Caenorhabditis elegans: one gene and its partners. The protein of the gene in region 3 interacts with the protein of the main gene of each other region in a biochemical or structural test. Each region holds a gene or a part of one and is shown on either strand. Other genes may lie near its edges. The genes, in order: arx-5, arx-4, wsp-1 and arx-7.

What was found.
Region 1: the proteins of wsp-1 (region 3) and arx-5 form a complex in vitro, tested with the Caenorhabditis elegans proteins (one study listed by BioGRID).
Region 2: the proteins of wsp-1 (region 3) and arx-4 form a complex in vitro, tested with the Caenorhabditis elegans proteins (one study listed by BioGRID).
Region 4: the proteins of wsp-1 (region 3) and arx-7 form a complex in vitro, tested with the Caenorhabditis elegans proteins (one study listed by BioGRID).

What each region holds. Positions count from the first base shown.
Region 1 is NC_003281.10:12,816,261-12,819,800, forward strand, and holds arx-5 (putative actin-related protein 2/3 complex subunit 3), read right to left. Parts: upstream 1,841-3,540; 5' UTR 1,837-1,840; coding exon 1,728-1,836; intron 1,672-1,727; coding exon 1,598-1,671; intron 1,553-1,597; coding exon 1,478-1,552; intron 960-1,477; coding exon 666-959; 3' UTR 529-665; downstream 1-528. Other genes in the region: BE10.4 (DUF148 domain-containing protein), read left to right, coding at 313-450; Y37D8A.25 (PH domain-containing protein), read right to left, coding at 2,464-2,620, 2,753-2,934. UniProt on the Caenorhabditis elegans protein: Functions as a component of the Arp2/3 complex which is involved in regulation of actin polymerization and together with an activating nucleation-promoting factor (NPF) mediates the formation of branched actin networks.
Region 2 is NC_003281.10:860,617-865,929, forward strand, and holds arx-4 (putative actin-related protein 2/3 complex subunit 2), read left to right. Parts: upstream 1-1,689; 5' UTR 1,690-1,693; coding exon 1,694-1,767; intron 1,768-2,181; coding exon 2,182-2,275; intron 2,276-2,322; coding exon 2,323-2,376; intron 2,377-2,426; coding exon 2,427-2,662; intron 2,663-4,198; coding exon 4,199-4,646; 3' UTR 4,647-4,780; downstream 4,781-5,313. Other genes in the region: exos-4.2 (Exoribonuclease phosphorolytic domain-containing protein), read left to right, coding at 23-548. UniProt on the Caenorhabditis elegans protein: Functions as actin-binding component of the Arp2/3 complex which is involved in regulation of actin polymerization and together with an activating nucleation-promoting factor (NPF) mediates the formation of branched actin networks.
Region 3 is NC_003282.8:8,188,401-8,195,240, reverse strand, and holds wsp-1 (CRIB domain-containing protein), read left to right. Parts: upstream 1-2,045; 5' UTR 2,046-2,088; coding exon 2,089-3,148; intron 3,149-3,723; coding exon 3,724-3,870; intron 3,871-4,107; coding exon 4,108-4,216; intron 4,217-4,264; coding exon 4,265-4,534; intron 4,535-4,987; coding exon 4,988-5,183; intron 5,184-5,231; coding exon 5,232-5,495; intron 5,496-5,540; coding exon 5,541-5,663; intron 5,664-5,718; coding exon 5,719-5,895; 3' UTR 5,896-6,337; downstream 6,338-6,840. Other genes in the region: pct-1 (Cyclin-dependent kinase 17), read right to left, coding at 6,806-6,840.
Region 4 is NC_003279.8:3,068,797-3,071,765, forward strand, and holds arx-7 (Actin-related protein 2/3 complex subunit 5), read right to left. Parts: upstream 1,355-2,969; 5' UTR 1,345-1,354; coding exon 1,260-1,344; intron 1,176-1,259; coding exon 1,054-1,175; intron 952-1,053; coding exon 700-951; 3' UTR 529-699; downstream 1-528. Other genes in the region: pign-1 (GPI ethanolamine phosphate transferase 1), read left to right, coding at 233-454.

The DNA of each region.
Region 1 (3,540 bases), on a different chromosome or scaffold from region 3:
TCATTCTCTGACTGGAAAACGGCAAAAAAACTGATTTAAAACAATTTTTAACAGGAAAAAAGAAAAAAAAGTACCATAAACTTTTTTGCGCGCCGAGACCCATCTGAACAAATCTGTGCGCCTTTAAGACGGAAATCTTGGAAAATTACGGGAAATTAATAGTTTTTTTCCCGATTTTATTTGAAAAAACCTGAAAATTTTTCGATTTTCTAATAAAAAAGGCCTATATTTGGGGTTTTCTGAAAAAAATTCGACTATTTTCCAATTTTCTCGGAGAAAATCTTAAAATTTTCAATTTTTCTCAATTTCCAGGCTCTTCCAGTCTCCCAACTTCCCGAAGAGGTTCGAAGTCACTTGGCACGTTGCCAGATAACTGCTCCAGAAGTCGTACACGATACCGTGGCGTTTTTGTTGTCAGTGATGGGATCCAAGCAGACAAATTATCGGTAGAGCATAGAGATTTCGCGTATTTCGCGCACAACATATTTGACGCGCGCAAAATATGTTGCGTTACCGTAATAAAATGATGAAATCGGAATTTTAATGAATATTTTAAAGCAGCACAAAAAGTAAAACTGGACGCAATATAAATATAATTACATGGAAAAAAAAATGGGAAAAGTGAAAAAATTTTGAGCCAGATACAACAATAATTAATCGATAATTCACAAATTAACACCCTGTCCAACGAGCCCCTTGTCCATGAATCGTCTTCTCGCGAAACAGAGCCACCACTTGCTCGGACGATCTTGGGGATCCGGGAACGCGAGATCACACAGACGGGCGCCGATTTCTTGGCGAATTTGTTGCAAATAGGCACGCATTTCGTCCTCGTCCGGTTTCGATTGGGGCGCCTTGTACATGCTGTTCAGTGGGAATCCATTTTCACCGGGAATTGGAAGCAAATGACTGAGAGCCAAGGCGTGAAGATCCTTTTGGCCGGCTATCTTGTTTGGGCTCTGAAAATTTGAAAAAATTTGCAAAAAAAAAACATGTTTTTACGCTTTATTTCACTCAAAATAGCCCGAAAAGACCGAATTTTGTAACTAGAATTTTTTTTTATAATTTCCAAAATTTTGAGAAAAAAAAAAGTTGGATTTCTCCGAAGAAAATCGGAAAAATTTCGGATTTTTTCAGTGAAAATCGAAAAATTTTCGGATTTTTTCAGGGAAAACCAGAAAAATTTTGGAATTTTCAGGGAATATTAAACAATTTTTAGATTTTTTTCAGGGAAAAACCAAAAAAATTCGATTTTTTCAGAGAAAACCTTAAAATTTGTGGATTTTTCAGAGAAAATTGAAAGAATTTGGGATTTTTTCAGAGAAAATCGAAAATGTTTCGAATTTGAAATTTTCTACTTAAAAAAATCTGTTTTCGGTAGGAATGTTCAAAATATCCATTGAAATTCGGTATGTTTGGGTCTTTTTTTCTTATTTTTCAATCTAAAAAGTAGGTTTTTTTCGTGCAAAATCCGTACTTTTTGCAATTTTCTGAGGCACTCGGTGATGTAGAAGATGAGATAGATCATTGTACGGTCCGCGGGACCTTTGATCTGAAAATTTCTCAATTTTAATAGGGAAAAATCTCGAAAATCAACCTCAAATTCGCGGAAAAAGATGTTCGGCTTGAAGTAGGTGAGCGCTTCGTCGATGATGTCATCCTGATTGGTTTCTGCAATAATTTTAATATATAATATAGGTTTTTTCAATCAATTTTTGAAGACTTACGAGGCGCTGGACCCTTGAAATTGGTTCGAATCGGAAGTTTTCCCATATTTGTGTTGCCCAATGGCAAAACTTTGAGTTCAGTGTCGAATTTTGAGTGGTATGCCGGCATTTCACTGAAAAATAAGTGTTTTGTTTGGAAAAATGCATAGAAAACGGCTTATTTTCGGATACCCGAGGGGGGGGGGGGGTAAGTACATAATGAGTCACTGCGGCTGCGAAAAAAAATCGATAAATTGTGAAATTCGAGTTTTAAATTAAAATATAAGTATTTTATTCGATAAAAATGCAGTTTTTGAAGCGATAATGTCGTTGCGGACGCGAAAATTAAAGTAAAACCCGAAAATACACTTTTATTCGGAAATTCGTGTTAAAATATATGAAAACTTGGAATTAATATGATTAATATCAGCTTACAAGTTTCCTATAATCAGATATTTAAGAAAAATTGGAAAAAATCAAAGATTTTCTGCTTTTTAAACGTTTTTTCTGATGAAATTCTCTCCAGGAACGGAAAAATAAATAATAATCTCGTGTAAGTTTACGGTAAACAAGGCGCGACATCGGAATATCGGAGCATCGTTTGGAAATTTTTAATGAAATTTCGCGATTTTTTGCGAAAAAAACGATAAATTCAGGGAAATTCCAGCTGCAAAACAAAGCAAAAAACGTTAAAAATGTATGATTTATAATCAATAAGTCAAAATATCACAGTGAAAATGTGCAAAATGTATAAAAATCAATCCCTCATCGCTTTCTTCTGAGTTTGCTCGATTTGCTCATGAAAACTTTGTTTCGAGAGCTGTATATAGTCGATCGGGGAGATTGTGAGCAGCGAAACCCAACGTCCCAGCGATTTGAACGAGTCGGCGGCGAAGATGAAGCTTCGAGCAGTTCTGGAAAAAAATCGGATAATTTTAGGAATTTTCAATCGATTTTTCATCGATTTTCGATAAAACCGATAAAAATTCAGTTTTTTTTTGGAATTTAGTATTAATTTTTCGTGTTGAGACCCGGAAAAAACGCACGATTTGAATTTGATTTCAAAAGTGAAATCCTTGCCAATCTTATTCTCATCACATAATTCGATAAAACAGTCTTCAATAATTAGTAGTAAAAATGGAGGAGCCGACGTCTCCTCTTCGGTTTTATTGTACACGAAAAGCATATTGGCCTTGAGAACACCCCAGCCGGCACGCCATTGGAAATCCTGAAAAAAACTTTTTTTTTTAATAAAAAAATCATTTTTTTGATTTTTTAAATTTTCAAATTACTCCAAATTTCCCATATTTTGTTTTAAAAAAATTCAAAAAATTTCAAAAATCTTATATTTCAGCTTGAAAGCGCGAAACAATTTTCAAACTCGCGCCAGAAAAATTCTCATTGGAGCGCGCCATGCCATGTCGATTTACGAGGGGTTTTTTTGCAGCCAAATTCGGTTTTTTAAACCAGTTTTCTTCATTTTCTTCGGTTTTTTTAAATTAAAATGTGTTTTTTCGTGTAAATTTGGGTATTTTATTATTTTAAAAATTGAAAAATCAGTAAGTTTCGTTCACTTTACACGAAATAAATTATATTTCAAAAAAAAAAAATCAAAGAAACTAAAATTTGCAAGTTTCTTTGATTTTTTTGTTGAAAAATTTTTTTTTTCAAATTTTAAAAATCATAAAATTATTTCACATTTTCACTTAAAAAAACGCGAAAAATATAGAAAACTTGTTGAAAAACTGAAATTTGCAAACAAAATCTCTCGTAAATCGACGCGACATGGCGCGCTCCAATGATAATGGCCCTGGCGGATTTTAAGCTGAAATAT
Region 2 (5,313 bases), on a different chromosome or scaffold from region 3:
CATATAAACTAAAAATTTTCAGCACAGGACCTGATGGTGACGGAAAATGGGAAGAGGATCGTGCTAAGATCACAATCGAACTGAAAGGAATTGAAGATTCGGTAAAAGTCGCAGAATATCGTGCTCAACTGGCGTCTGCAGTATCTGCTGTGATTTTCGCGAGCAAATATCCTGGAAAAGTGATCGAAATCGAGATAACCGTTCTTTCGGATGATGGTGGTGTTCTTTCAACTGCACTTTCAGCTGTCACACTAGCCATTTCTCATTCTGGAATTGAAAATATGGGATTAATGGCCAGTGTTCATGTGGCAATGAATTCTGATGGAGAATGCTTGACGGATCCATCAACTTCCGAATCCGAAGGAGCCATCGGTGGCGTCACATTCGCTTTCGTTCCGAATCTTGGCCAAACAACGTGTGTGGACATTTACGGACGAATCCCTCTCAAATCCACGTCATCACTTTTGGAATTTGCGAAGCAAAGAGCGTGTGCTCTGGTTCCGACGATTCATAAGGCAATTGTGAACAGTGTGCGAGAGAGAAAATAAATGTGTTGACAATTTTTAAATTTATCTCTCATTCCGAATATCTAATTTAGAAAAAAAAGTTTTTGCCCGATTATTTGAAAATACATTTTTCCGTCTAAATTGAACATTAAATAGAAATATAAAATTGAATTCGACAAAATTTTTTTTGAAAATATTTTTTAGTTCGTGATTTCAAGCTGAAATATAAAAAAACAGATATTCAAAATATCATGCTCAAAAAAAATATGGAAAAAAGAAATATCTTCGTTTGCATTAAATTTTTTTCGAATTCTTGAAAATTTTTTTCGAATTCTTGAGAATGAGAATTTGAAAAAAAAAATCTCAAGCGAAAATATTGAACATTTCCATATTTTTGAGCATGATATTTTGAATATCGGTTTTTTTTTATTTTAGCTCGAAATCACGAATTTCAAAAATTTGTCAAAATTAACATTACCGAATTCACAAGTTTAAAAAGGATTAAAAATTAACATTACCGAATTCACAAGTTTAAAAAGGATTAAACTTGTGAATTCGGTAAAGTTAATTTTGACAAATTTTTGAAATTCGTGATTTCGAGCTAAAATATAAAAAAAAACCGATATTCAAAATATCATGCTCGAAAATATGGAAATGTTCAATATTTTCGCTTGAGATTTTTTTTTCAAATTCTCAAGAATTCGAAAAAAAAATTTTTATTTTTAAAACGCTCAATTTAGACGGGAAAATGTATTTTTCAAAATCGGACGAAAACTTCTTTTTTTTCTAAATTAGATATTCGCCGATACATTTTCTAAAAATTCAATTAATTATCCCCGATTTCACTTCAAATGCACCCCCTTCCATCTTTAATGAATGGGAGGAAAGAGCGCTCCACTGCACACAGATTCTTTGAGTAAATATAATACTGTTTAGTCACCTTCCCTTTTGCCTTCTCCGTCGTTTCTTTCTCATTTCTTTCTTGTTGATTTTGTTGTTGTTTCCCTTTTCATTTTGTTCAACCGTCGTGGTTTTCACAGTTTTCCTTCATTTTAAATACAATGAATTCAGAATTCTCTATGCATTTAATACCCTTCTTATTCCGTCGCTGGTCGCGGTTTTGTATTTTAATTCCTTTTTAATTGTTTTTGTACATTTCTCTCTCTATTTTCTACACTTTCAGAAAAATGATCATTTTGGAGCAAAACAACCGAATTATCGTGGAACTTCTCGAGCAAAAATTTGCAAACGCGAAGGAAGGGTTGGTTTTTTTTTGAATTTTAAACGTATTTTTGTAATTTTGAAAGAAAACATAACTGCATAATTTTCCTTTATTTTTAAATTAAAAACATTACCTTTCCGAAATTATTACGGAAATTTCGTTATTTTTTCAAACGTTTGTTGAAAACAATACCAAGAAAAAGTAAACTTGTGTGCGGTTTTCCCGTAGATATAGGTCTCGCCACGAATTTAGCATTTTCAGGCTTTAAAAAGTGTATGTTTTTATAAAGAGTATAGTAATTTCTCCATGGTTCTTCAACTGAAGTGCCAGAGAAACAACGATGTGTGTGAGAGTAATGTACTTTTTGAAGGCACATAGCGTTAAATTGAAAATGATTTGATCGTGGCGAGACCTTAATATATTGTTACTCTCACTAATAATCACCTTTTTCAGTGGAAAACCAGAGTCGGTCAACGTGACATTCGCCGATTTTGACGGAGTTCTCTACAAACTTTCGAATCCAGATGGCGATAGAACCAAGATAATTGTTAGAAACTTTTTCACAGTCTAATAATTTTTAAAACTAATTTTCAGCTGAGCATCTCGCTAAAATTCTACACGGAACTGCAGCAACACGGAGCGGATGATGTATGTCGCCGCTTTTTTCTGATGAATATTTGATTTTCCAAAATTTCCAGCTCCTTCGTCGTGTGTACGGTGGTCATATGCGTTCAACTCCGGAACAAGGATTTAATGTCACTCTGGAATACAATTTGGCCGATCTTCCGGCAGATACAACGGATTTGGTGCAGGCAGCTTCTGCTTTGAAGAGAAATTGTTTTGCTTCAGTCTTTGAAAAGTATTTCGAATTCCAAGAGGCCGGCCAGGAGGGGCATAAGAGAGCTGTTATTAATTATAGAGATGATGAGACAATGTGAGTACCGGTTGTGTTATGGCGTTATTCGAGAAGTGTCGAAAAATTTAAAAGTGTAGAAAAACTACGCCACAACTGTTTTAAAATACATAAAAACATGTATTTTAATACAGTTGTGGCGTCATAAATGTTTTTGAACACATTTTGCAAAATTACTTGATTAACCCCATTAAACGAGGAAAGTTGAAAAATGTTCAATATTATAAAGATTTGTTCAATTAAAATAATTTCACAGAGAAAGGCTGAAAAGTGGCGTTTTTATTCCAGTTTTCGTGGATTTTCAGAGAATTTGATTTATTATTTAACTATCAAAAGATATAAAAATTTTCGATTTTTTCATATTTCGAAAAAATTCCAAGTTTGCCGGAATTTTTCAATTCCTGCACTTTGCCGTTTTGCCGGTTTTCCGCCCACCCCTGAATCGACTCTCTACAATTTTTCAAATAAATAATTTATTATTAGGTCTCCAAATAAGTTCCGGGTCAAAAATCATAACTTTGTTCGCTGCGAATCGATTTTTATGAAATTGTGGGAATTTATGTTATCAACCATGATCTTTCATTTGACAATAGTCACAAAATTTTTTGGCCGTCCGAAGTGCCCGTACTCATAGCCAATTTTTTCAGGCATTTTTCAGATCTCGCTTCTTTTCAGGTTTCAACTAAGGTTTGTGTGCGGATATTGCTTAGTTTAGTACACAATGTAAGAGAACAAGAAAAGTTTGAAAAAAATCCGTCCAAAAAAATTTTTTTGTCGATCGTCAAAAAATCTTCAAAAAATTTTTTGTCGAAAATTCTTAATTTTTCATACAAAAATGATGTAACCATGTGCAAACTATTTTTACACATACAAAAAATTTCAATTTAGTGCGTCTCACTAAAAAAAAATAACAAAAAACACAGCTTTTTCGAACTATTTTCGAGTTTTTGGAGTATTTCTCAAGATCCAAATTTCATACTCAAATGTTTTGTATGTGTAAAAATAGTTTGCACATGGTTACATCATTTTTGTATAAAAATTCAAGAATTTTCGACAAAAATTTTTTTGTAGATTTTTTGACGAGCGACAAAAAAAATTTTTTTGGACGGATTTTTTTTCAAACTTTTCTTGTTTTCTTACATTGTGTACTTAATTAAGCAATATCCGCACACAAACCTCAGTTGAAACCTGAAAAGAAGCGAGATCTGAAAATGCCTGAAAAAATTGGCTCCGAGTACGGACACTTCGGACGGCCAAAAAATTTTGTGACTATTGTCAAATGAAAGATCATGGTTGATAACATAAATTCCCAAAGTTTCATAAAAATCGATTCGCAGCGAACAAAGTTATGATTTTTGACCCGGAACTTATTTGGAGATCTAATAATAATCACAAATTTGCCATTTTCTCTGAAAAATAGTAAGAATTAATAAAAAAGTGTTTTTCACTTTTTCAATACGCACAAATTTCTTATTTTTTGAACAAAAAATTCTGAAAAACAGTACTTTTTAATTGTAATACTGCAAATAATATACTTTAAACCCCAATGATTTTCAGGTACATTGAAGCGAAAGCGGATCGTGTGACCGTAATCTTCAGTACAGTTTTCAAGGACGCTGACGATGTGATAATCGGAAAAGTGTTCCTTCAAGAATTCCGTGAAGGCCGAAAAGCCAGTCAAACTGCTCCAGCAGTACTCTACTCACTCGGTGAACCACCTTTGGAGCTTAAAGATCTTCCAGAAGCCCGTGTTGGAGACAATGTTGGATACATTACATTTGTGTTGTTCCCACGTCACACAAATAAGAAGACAAAAGACAATACGATTGATTTGATTCATTCGTTCCGTGACTATCTTCATTATCATATCAAATGTTCCAAAGTCTACCTTCACACCAGAATGCGTGCCAAGACCACTGATTTCTTGAAGGTTCTCAATCGGGCACGTCCAGAGGTCAAAGGAGAAAAGAAGACGTTCCATGGAAGAACTTTTCAGACCCAATAAATGTACAAATTATCACAATTGTTACCAAATATTTTTTTTCTGTTTTCGCTTTAAAACCTTATTTATTGCTTTGATTGTAAAATGTTCTTATGAGGTTCGTGAAATTTTGATATGAAATGAATTATTGCAGTAAAATGGAGAGCGATAGTTAAGGCACAATTTGTGGAATGATATCAATTACTATCCGATTTCAAAGAAGAAAAACATGGACGGGCTGAAAATGCATAGGGATCGGAGGAGAGAGAGGAGAACAGGTATTCAGGTAGACCCTAGTAGTTTGACCTACGAAACTTGCGGGAATGGTGTTTACGCGTCATGGCAAACAACGAGGAGTCCACCTGAACACATGTAATGTAATAATGAAGAAATCTCCTAAAAATCATAAAAATTTTCAAATATTATCATTTGGAGCAATTTTACGGGCCTCTAAAGTAGTGAAAAAAAAAACACTATTCAGCTCGATTTTTATCCAGTTCAAAGTGTTTTTTTGCCGGCCTATTTAGGAGGTACTCTTTTAACATAGATTTCATCCAGAAGTCGGGGTTAACTTGAAATACTTCCCTTGTTCTCTCACATGATCTAAAATACTCATTCACATCTTTTAGTTGTCCTGCAAATACGCTTCACATTTTTTTTCTTCAATTTTTTGCAATTCATGTATGCTGAA
Region 3 (6,840 bases):
TATTCAACTTTTCCAATTTTTCAACTTTTGGTTTCTTCGAAAATTGTTCGACGTTTGTTGGTCTTATTTTTGATCTCGATCGTATTATTCTATTCTATTATTCTGGAGCGGTAATTTTTTGAAATGACCAATCCATTGAAATTAATACAAATTGTCATTTACTATAATAGATAATCGGAAAAAAAAGTTGAAATTGAAACTTATTAAAACGTACCTGATATCTCGGAATGGTCTTACTGTAGTCTACTGTATTCCTAACTTACAATACGATATGTCATTATGTGTCACTTGATTCGAAGTTATATTGCTTACAATCTATAAAATTCTATTTGAAAAAATAGAAATTTGTTCTGACCTATCATGAATCTCAGTTTTGTGTTCCTCTAAAGCATGAGCCACTTTCAATCGACGCATGTGAAAAGCGGGCCACTTGAAAGAGCAAGGAGTAGGACAAGACGAGTACAGGATTCAATGGAGATCTACGTGATCTTACCCGTGCCTTGTGCTCTACAATGTTCAATCTGAACAAAGAACGAGCACTGGTTCAATTATAAGGTTTTCATACTTTTTATTTTCTTCTCTTTTTTACAATAGTGCTTCAAGTCTCCATCTCTTCTTCTGCAGCAATCCTATGCGGTTGTATTATGTTCATGCATTAATTTTTGAGAAGTCGACACTTGAGAGGAAGTTATAATTAGGTTTTCGTATATAGTTTTGTATTTGGCGCAGGTTATTTTTGAAACATAGTATATCTTTAAAATCTGTTAACAGAACACAAGCAGATGTGAAAAAAGTGTAGAAATTATTTAATAATAAGTGAAACTGGCTGTTCCTTCCGTTTTCCGAATGTCATTATTGACGTCTAGAGGTGTAGCTGTTCCTACGTGTTGTTGTTAGCGGGTGTGACAGTAGTCAAACGATGATTGAATAATTTTTGTGTTGAAGTACACGCTTTCAAACAAAAAAGTAAAATCTTAGTTTTTTCAGTCTTACCGCTGTTTTAAATTTGAAGGATCACCCTTAAGAACGGTGTCTCGTTTACTATAAAAGTACTGTAAACTCAAGAAAAAAATTACGATACTTCTTACAAAGTATTTCTGGTAGCCACACATTGACACCTAAGTCACAAACTAATAGAAACATTATCTTATTATTTCTCAGTTTTTTAATGTTTAACTATATTGAGACTCTCTCCGTTAGAGGTTCAGGGCAGCACATACACACATACACATACTCATCGGTGTTGACTCCGCCTAACTCTCGTGAGAAGAGAAGTGCTTCAGTTCACCTCCCCACAGTTTTCGCCCCATCATTTCGGTCACTTTTACTATTCATTTCTTACATGGAAAATTTTTGGAATATGTAAAAAATATCATTTTTTGAATAGAAATAGATAGTTGTTAGGAATTCAATTAATATTTACATCTGTTTCCTCTGTCAATATGCACATCTCACTGCCGCCAAACTGTGGTAGTGTGTTGTGTAATTTGATTCCGAATCGAAACGATTGGGCGAGAGAGAAAATTAGAGGGAGAGAAGCCGAACGGTGTGAAGAGGCGAAACGGTATACAATAATGATGTGTATTATGACGGTTTTCATTTCGTTCTGTTTCTATGATTCTCTGAATATCCGTTCGAATCACTAAGTGCTTGTACGCCAATCAGAAAGTCATGGCAATTTAAAAGATTTAGAAATGCAAACGTTTTTTTTTCCAAATTCACTTTTCATCAGACTTCAGCAAGATTTTTTGAAGAATAGGATGTTACAAATTATGCTTGCGTAAATATGCAACATTTTTTGGAATGCCCATTTTCGAAGTCAACTAGAGGTATAATTTGGAACCCTTATATACATCTCTCCTTTCAATTGTTTCACACATCACTCGGATATCTCAAGTGAATTTGTTCCATTCCTTCATTTTATGACCTGAAAATTCCGATTCTCACAGCTTTCGATTCCATAAACGTCACCTTTCGACATTTCCCATATACTCTTTTTTCTCTCGCTTTCATCTCCATAATTTGCGACGATCTTTTTCGCCTTCTTTCAGAAGTATCAGAAGTAGTAGCCATTCGAAGAATAATAACATGTGGATGGTGGTAAGCGAGGATCCGGCCGGCCGCCTCCGCTATCAGTACCACAACCTGCCGGTCGCTCAATCGTTTCCTCCTCCTTCCCACCCTCCGCCACCGTCTGCGACAACCAATCCGTCGTCCAATAAACCGTCAACCGTTTCGTCGGCGGCTCAAATTTATTCGTCCTTTCCATCCTCCACTTCCTCTTCCGGTACTGGCGGTCATCTTCACCATAACCATATGCAACGTTTTGCACGTGGAGGATGCTCTAGCTTCCCTGATTCTATGGGATCCTCACCTCGTACTACCCATCGGAGTCATACTCTACCAAATGGAGGATATTATGAAATGGAACAATATGACAATGTAAATGATTATTCGACTTATGGAGGTCCTGATTCCACGTCAAGCTCAACAAGCTCATCTGCAGAATACCAAGATCCAGTATATTCAACAAGGTATGGAGGATCCACAGGTACATATGCAAGGCGTCAGAACTATGCAAGATGTTATGTTCCAATATCTGCTGATGCATTCTATTACTATCACAATCAACAAAAGCAACTACAACAGCAACATCATCAGCAGCAACAACAGCAGCTAGCATTCCGACCTCGTCATCGATCATCACATCATCATCAAGAACCTCGTCGACATAGAGCTCCGAGTCCTGATCCAGACTATTCACCCCCACTTTCTCGAAATAAGGTACGATTTCATATCCCAGAAGAACCAGTATCTCGTGGTGACTATGTGAGTTCTCGACACGTATTCAATACGGATGACTTCGGTGACGAAGACGACGATTATGAATCAGTATCGATGAATCCTGATCCTGCACCTCATTCTGATTCCGTATTAGTTCATCGATCAAATGGTCAAGTATCTGTTATGGTCACAAAGAAAGAAGAACCTATCTACTGTTCTGGAGGAAGTGATAGTAGTACAGAGAGTAGCAGTGCAACACCATCATCTGTAGAAGCAGATACTCCACCACCAATTCCATCTCATCCACCTGCAAGGCATCGATTAGTGAAGAAAAGTTCTAGTTCGACATCAATTTCGCTTAATGGTTTGTTTTACAGACTTTAAATATTCTGATGTCTGAATCTTCACCTCATCATTTTTACTCTTCTACAATAGTTTCTAAAACCTTTTAAAATCTCCCAAAAATTACACAGCTTGTGAAGCTTGAAAATTTAAAAACGAATTTAGTTTTTCGAAACTTCTAAAAGTATAGGAAGTGTCAACAAGTTGAACTCATGATGTGTATTTGCACTTTATCATAATATTTTTGTTTACTTGATCACTATCTTTCCATATTATCGTTTTTTCTTTGAGTTGATCAATTTGATAGACAGAATCTGGTTCTATAAGAGTTTTTCACACAAATTTGGAAAGCAAACATCCAACCCAGGATGGCGAGAAATTCGGACCGATTATTTGTGTTCATGTCATGTTATGAGCACCGCCGACCGAGTACTTGATCGGCTTCAAGCGCTCAGAGCACATGAACATCATTGTTGAGCAGAAATGCTGGAGAATAGAGAAAGATGATTTTTAACTGATTGGGTGATCGAATTGAAATGAAAAAGAACAGAGCACTTGACAGTGAGAACTTCTATATTTAATAATTTATTATTTCAGGAATCGGATCCACTCCAACACGACAATTCGAAATCACACAGGCTTATGGAGGAACAATTCGAGGACCTCCAATGGCAATTGGCGGAGGTCAAGGGATAACACAAATGGGAACTATGGCTGCTGCACCACAATCACATACACATACAGGTGAATATTTTTTTGGAAATTGAAAAATGATGTTCTCGTAGTCAGTAATTGAATTTCTGAATAAAATTACGTAAACTTAAAAAAAATCACATTTTATATCTCATTTCTTATGCATACTTTGCAAAATTTGCTCATATTTTAATGATTAATAAATTGAAAAGATTGTTACATAAATTTGGTGAGAAATCTCTTCAAAAAATAACATTAATTTTAATTAAATATTTTCAATATTTACAGATGGAAATGCTAGCAGTAGTGGATCATGGTTCCGGAAAGATAAAAACAAAAAGAAGGATAAAAAATCGAAAATTAAGAAAGAGGATATTTCTAATCCAACAAACTTTCAGTGAGATTTATTCCGTTTTAATGGTTTAAATTAAACTAAATATTTCAGACATAAAGCTCATGTTGGATGGAATCAGGATAGTGGATTCTCGAATACAGTTTACGACGATGATATGGATGAAGCTACTAAAAATATTCTAAAGGCTGCTGGATTGGAAAGCAATAATCTGAATGAGGATGATAAGAAATTCGTGAAAAAATTCATTGCCAAGAACTATGATAAATATGTATCTGTTGGAAGTTTGGATCCATCACAAATCTCATCACCTCTTCCACCACCAATTCAGCAACATCCACAGATGAATCAGTCATGGAATCAGTTAGTTTTTTTGTTTTCATTTCGGAAAAAAATAACTCCAAACCAGAAAAAATAAATTTAATTATGGTCCGACATCTACTGGGTTTCGCCCCTGTGAAGATACATGCATATGCGCTGTGTGAGTCGAAACCCGGTAGATGTCGGACCATGAAAAAGAGTAATGGCAACGCAATCCCAATTATTCTCCCCCGAAATGCTTTCGATGTAGTTTTTTTTCCGCAAACTTACAAAAAAAGTTAAAAGTAATATGTTTCTGTTACAGTTAACCCTTGAATATATTTTACGACTACTGTTTTTTGTAGCTGAGAACCAGAAATATTATGAAATATTTAATATAAATACTAGAAATATTAGAAATGAAATTAGTGTTGCATTTGGTGAGGGCGTATTTCAGCCATATTAGAAATACGATAACAAAAAAGTTTTATTTTTAAATGAAAAAAAAATTTTCAGAACACCAGTGCGTCAATACAAACCATCATTCCCATCATCTGCTCCGATTGGAAGCGGTGCTTCATCATATTCCACACCTGCCGCTCCTCCACCTCCAACACGTGTCGAATCTCATGGATTGGCTCCAGCTCGTCCACCTCCTCCACCACCGTCATCTGGTACCCGTGGAATTGCACCATCAAGACCTTTACCTCAAGTAAGTAACCGGAGAGTGATTTTCTGAAAAAAATTAATTTATATTCAGGCGCCCAACTATGGAACCCCAGAGAATCGACCACATGCGGTTCCACCACCTCCACCCCCTCCACCACCACAATCATTTGGAATGGCTCCGATATCATCCGCAGCTCCTCCACCACCACCTCCTCCACCACCGATGGGATTGCCAGCAGTAGGAGCAGGAGCTCCACCCCCTCCACCTCCACCACCACCTTCAGGAGCCGGAGGACCTGCATCGGTGCTCGCAAAACTACCACCTGCTCAGGATGGAAGATCGAATTTGCTAGCGGTTAGTATACTTTTAAAAATGTTCACTATTGAATTTTGTATTCAGGAAATCCAAGCTGGAAAACAACTTCGATCCGTTCAACAAACTGCAGATTCACCAAAATCGGCTGGTGGTGATGCTCGTGGAGATGTGATGGCCCAAATTCGACAAGGAGCACAATTAAAACATGTAAGACAATTTTTAACCGAAAATTACTATTGATTCCAATTTTTTTAAACTTTAGGTGGATGCAGCTGCTGAGCAAGAACGTCGAAAGAGTACGACTTCTGGAGCCGCTGGAATGGGAGGATTGGCTGGAGCACTAGCAAAGGCTCTTGAGGAACGTCGAATGAATATGGGAATAGATGATACTAGTGATGATGATGACGATGAAGATGACAAAAATGAATGGTCAGATTAGACTAAATTATCTCATTAAACTTGTTTTCCTTCCATTTTTCGTTTCCTTTTTCTGTGCAAATCCCGTGTGAAACAGGGTAATTTTAGTCCCTCAAGTACAATTCTTGATTTGAAAAATTACAGAATCGTCAATTTCCAAGATAAATTATCATACATTTTGAAAGTGACGAATTTGTAAAACTTGTGCATTTAGTTTTTTTTTTTCTCCAAATCAGTGCCTATTCCGTGTGAATTTCTCTTCGTAAGCCCCCTTCCACACACCCGAAATACCAACAAACTTTTAAAACTCAACCAGTCTTCTTGTTTTTCTCCCGTAGATTTTTCTGTGATGCTCCCCTCTCATCCAAAACCATTGTCCCTTTTTAGACTTACAGCAGAAACGCTCATAATTTTTTTGCATATTATCATTTTTCTGGGTATCCACATAAATAATTTTTGTTTCCAATTCGATGAGAAGTAGAAGCTTTCCGGGTAGAGCTTGTTTATTCACAGGTGTACAATAAGAATAACGGCTAAAATAAATAGCAAAAAAAATGGTTCTGTGTGCTTTTTGGGAACAAATTGAGATTATGAGATGATTTTTTGTAGATTTTTGTGTGATTTATGAACAGAAAATGTAAATTTGAAAATCGCTATTACTGGTTACGGGAAACAACGGGAAAAATTCTAAGAAGAATGATGGAGTCTCGGGATATGAAGAGAAAATATTACACAATAAATTATTAGGAAACATGTTTCATAAACATCTTGATCTATAAGTGACCGCATTGGAAGGACATTTTGGTTGGGAGGAAACGAATCGGAATTGGTTGACAAGAACCCGTAAAAGTGCAACACAATCTGAGATGAAATGGGGAAAAAAGAAACAAATTTAATTCTAAATATGTTTTTTTTTGTTGAGAAAATTATTTCTAAGTGTGATGACTCGAATGCATTCGATATTTAT
Region 4 (2,969 bases), on a different chromosome or scaffold from region 3:
TTTTTTTTCGGAAATTAAAAAATGTTTTTTTTCGAAAAAAAAACTTGTTTTGATAAAAAGATGAAAAAGCGAGAAAGATTTTTTTTTGGTAAATTTGAAACATTTTTTTGGAAAACTTGAATATTTTAATCAAAATTAATCAACATATTTAATTTCGAATAAAAAAATTCCCGATTTTTTCAGTAAAAATTTGTTTGAGATTAATTCCGCCTAAAACCCCGTGCATTTTCAGTGTTTCTTCCACCAACTTCGAGATGAGGGTAGCTGGTTGGATATTGGTATGAGCATTTCTCAATTCATCGTTTCAATGTGCATTTCTCTTGCTCTTCTGCTACTTCTCTCGATTTCCAGTCATCTTATGGCATTTGAATTCCGAAAATTTCCTGGAAAAAGAAATCACCAGGAAATCGAATCGATCTCTTCCCGGAAGTTATCCGACGACGAATCTGCTTAAATAATTTTTTTCAGATTTTTAATTGTTATTTTTCAATTCGTGATGCCATTTTCAATCGTGTGATAGATACTATTCCGTGGTGCTTTAATTTATCTTTCAAAAACTTTTTCGAATATCAGAAAGAATTAAAATAAATATCATCATAAAGCTTAAGGCGAAACAAAAAATATTCAAAATTCACAAGAAACATGTGGAGAGCGATGGGGGAATGAATATCACAGCAAACACAACGATTCGGGAATAAATCAGAGACGTTGGCGACCGGAGAAGACACGCATAATGGCTCCGTGACCGAATTTTGCGACGAGTTGAGCGTGCCACGCGAGCAAAGACTGACAGACGGCCGCGTCGGCGCCGATTTCCATTGATTTGTAGACGTATTTCATGAGAATATCACTTTCTTCTATCGAAAGCTTCTGGACAGTCGCCTCGATTTCCGCGTTTTTGAAGGATTGCAGAACTTTTGTGACGAGCTGTGTGGCGCGGTCTTTTACGTTCTGAAATTGAAAATTTTTCTTTCTGTCTCTTCCCTGGCCAGCTTAAGCCAAAACCTAGGCCTAGGCCTATGCCTAAGCCCAAATAAGCTTATTAAATCTCACCTGATCTTTGGTTTTAAGTGGCGGGGAGAGAAGAGCCGCATGAAGAGCATCCTCAAGCCGATTCGAGCTCAAAAATCCCTGAACCGCGCGCTCATCGGGTCCAAGTCCAGGAGTATCGACTGCTAAAATTAAATAACAAATTATTTATTCAAATGCACACGAAAAATCAATAATTTCCGCGCGCCTTAAGTACACAAATGACTCACTCTCGTCATTCTCATCGTACTGTTCCGGGTCGAAAGAGTCCACATCCAGCTTTCGGTACGAGGTGTTTTGCATGTTTTTCGACATTTTTTCCTATCTGAAACAAGAGATTTTTAAATGAAAATGTGGCGCGGTGGATTTGAAAATTGCGAAAGAAAAATAAATCGGTTAGCTTGTCCGAGAAGAGTACACAGTGGCACTAAACAACACGCGCATGCGGAATTACGGAGCTTCGTAGTTAATTTTTTTTTTTTTTTTTTGGTTTTATTAAAATTAATAAATATCTCGAAAAAAAGAGTGTTTTAATGTGAATTTTCCTTTTGAAAAAAAGTGAGAAACAATTATTCGGGATTAGATTCATTTAATTTTATCGAAAACTCCTCCATTTTGGGACTTTTATCGCCATTTTCGTCGAAAACTCTGAAAAATTGGCGAGAAACAGCGTTTTGGGAATATTCGTACCAAATAAACGCTATTTATTCTTGGATGCCATTATTTCTAGAAGCTCCTGAAATTAATTTCTATGATTTTCAAGCAAAACCTTCAAAAATTGGGGTTTTTTCGAATTTTTCCAAATTTCCAATTTTTGAAACAAATACATCAATTTTTTAGTAAATCCCCATATTTTGGAGCTAAAAAATTTGAAAATTTTACAAAACTGTTAATTTTCCGAGCGAAAACTTTAAATTTCCAATTTTTGAAGCTGGAATTTTGAATTTTTCAGAGGAAATTTTAAAAATTACATTAGTTGGCAAAAATTCTAAGTTTTTTCTTGAAAAATGTGTGCGTTTTTTACAACTTTTCCGGTTAAAAGCGACAATTTTTATCGCCAAAAACACGAAAAAGCCTCAATTTTGTGAGAAAACCCGCTGAAAATCTGCTAAATTGTGTGTGTTTTTTTTCAATAAAGAGTAGATTTGGTGAACAGAACGATTTATGCACTTTTTCCATAGTCATATATAATAAAAATTTGAAAAAAAGCTCCGTACCCTTCTTGGAAGGTTGAGATGAGACTAAAACGGCCCTTCAAGACCGTTCAAGAAGAGGACCGATCTCCGAGAAAAACTGTTCTTTTTGCGATAAAGAACCGTATGGGGGAGCAGAAGAAATAGATTATTCTCTGATTGGGAAGGGCTTTAAACTAGAAAACTCACCTTTCCCGAGAAGAAAAAATCGAATTTTTTGAATTAAAAAAATCCAAAACCAGAACAAAACAGAAGAGCAAATACACCAAAAAAAACATGGGGAAAAGATGATGAGCAATAGTTATCTATTTTACATGGATGCGATATAATACGAGCATATTCAAGATAATTGGGGAAATGGAAAGAGAGAGAGAGAGTACAGAATAGTGTACAGGAGGTGGGTGAGGAAGAGGATTTCAATGGAGAATAAAGCGAGTTGACATGAAGGCGGCTGAATTGAGACTGGAACAAAAACTGTCGAAATGCACTTTTGGATGGGGCAAGATCTGGAAATTATTGAGATTGGATTAAAATATTTAATTTTATTTTTTATAGACCCTATTTATGCTCCTGATCAAGGGTGTCAGTTTTTCGATTTTTTTTTCAAAAAATCGAAAATGTTAGTTTTTCGATTTTTCGATTTTCCGATTTTCGAAAAAAATTCGCTTAATATTTTGGCCATTATCCTTCTTTTTAGAAGAAATTTTAATGTTTTTTCTTACCAATATAAACAAAATTAGATAAAAA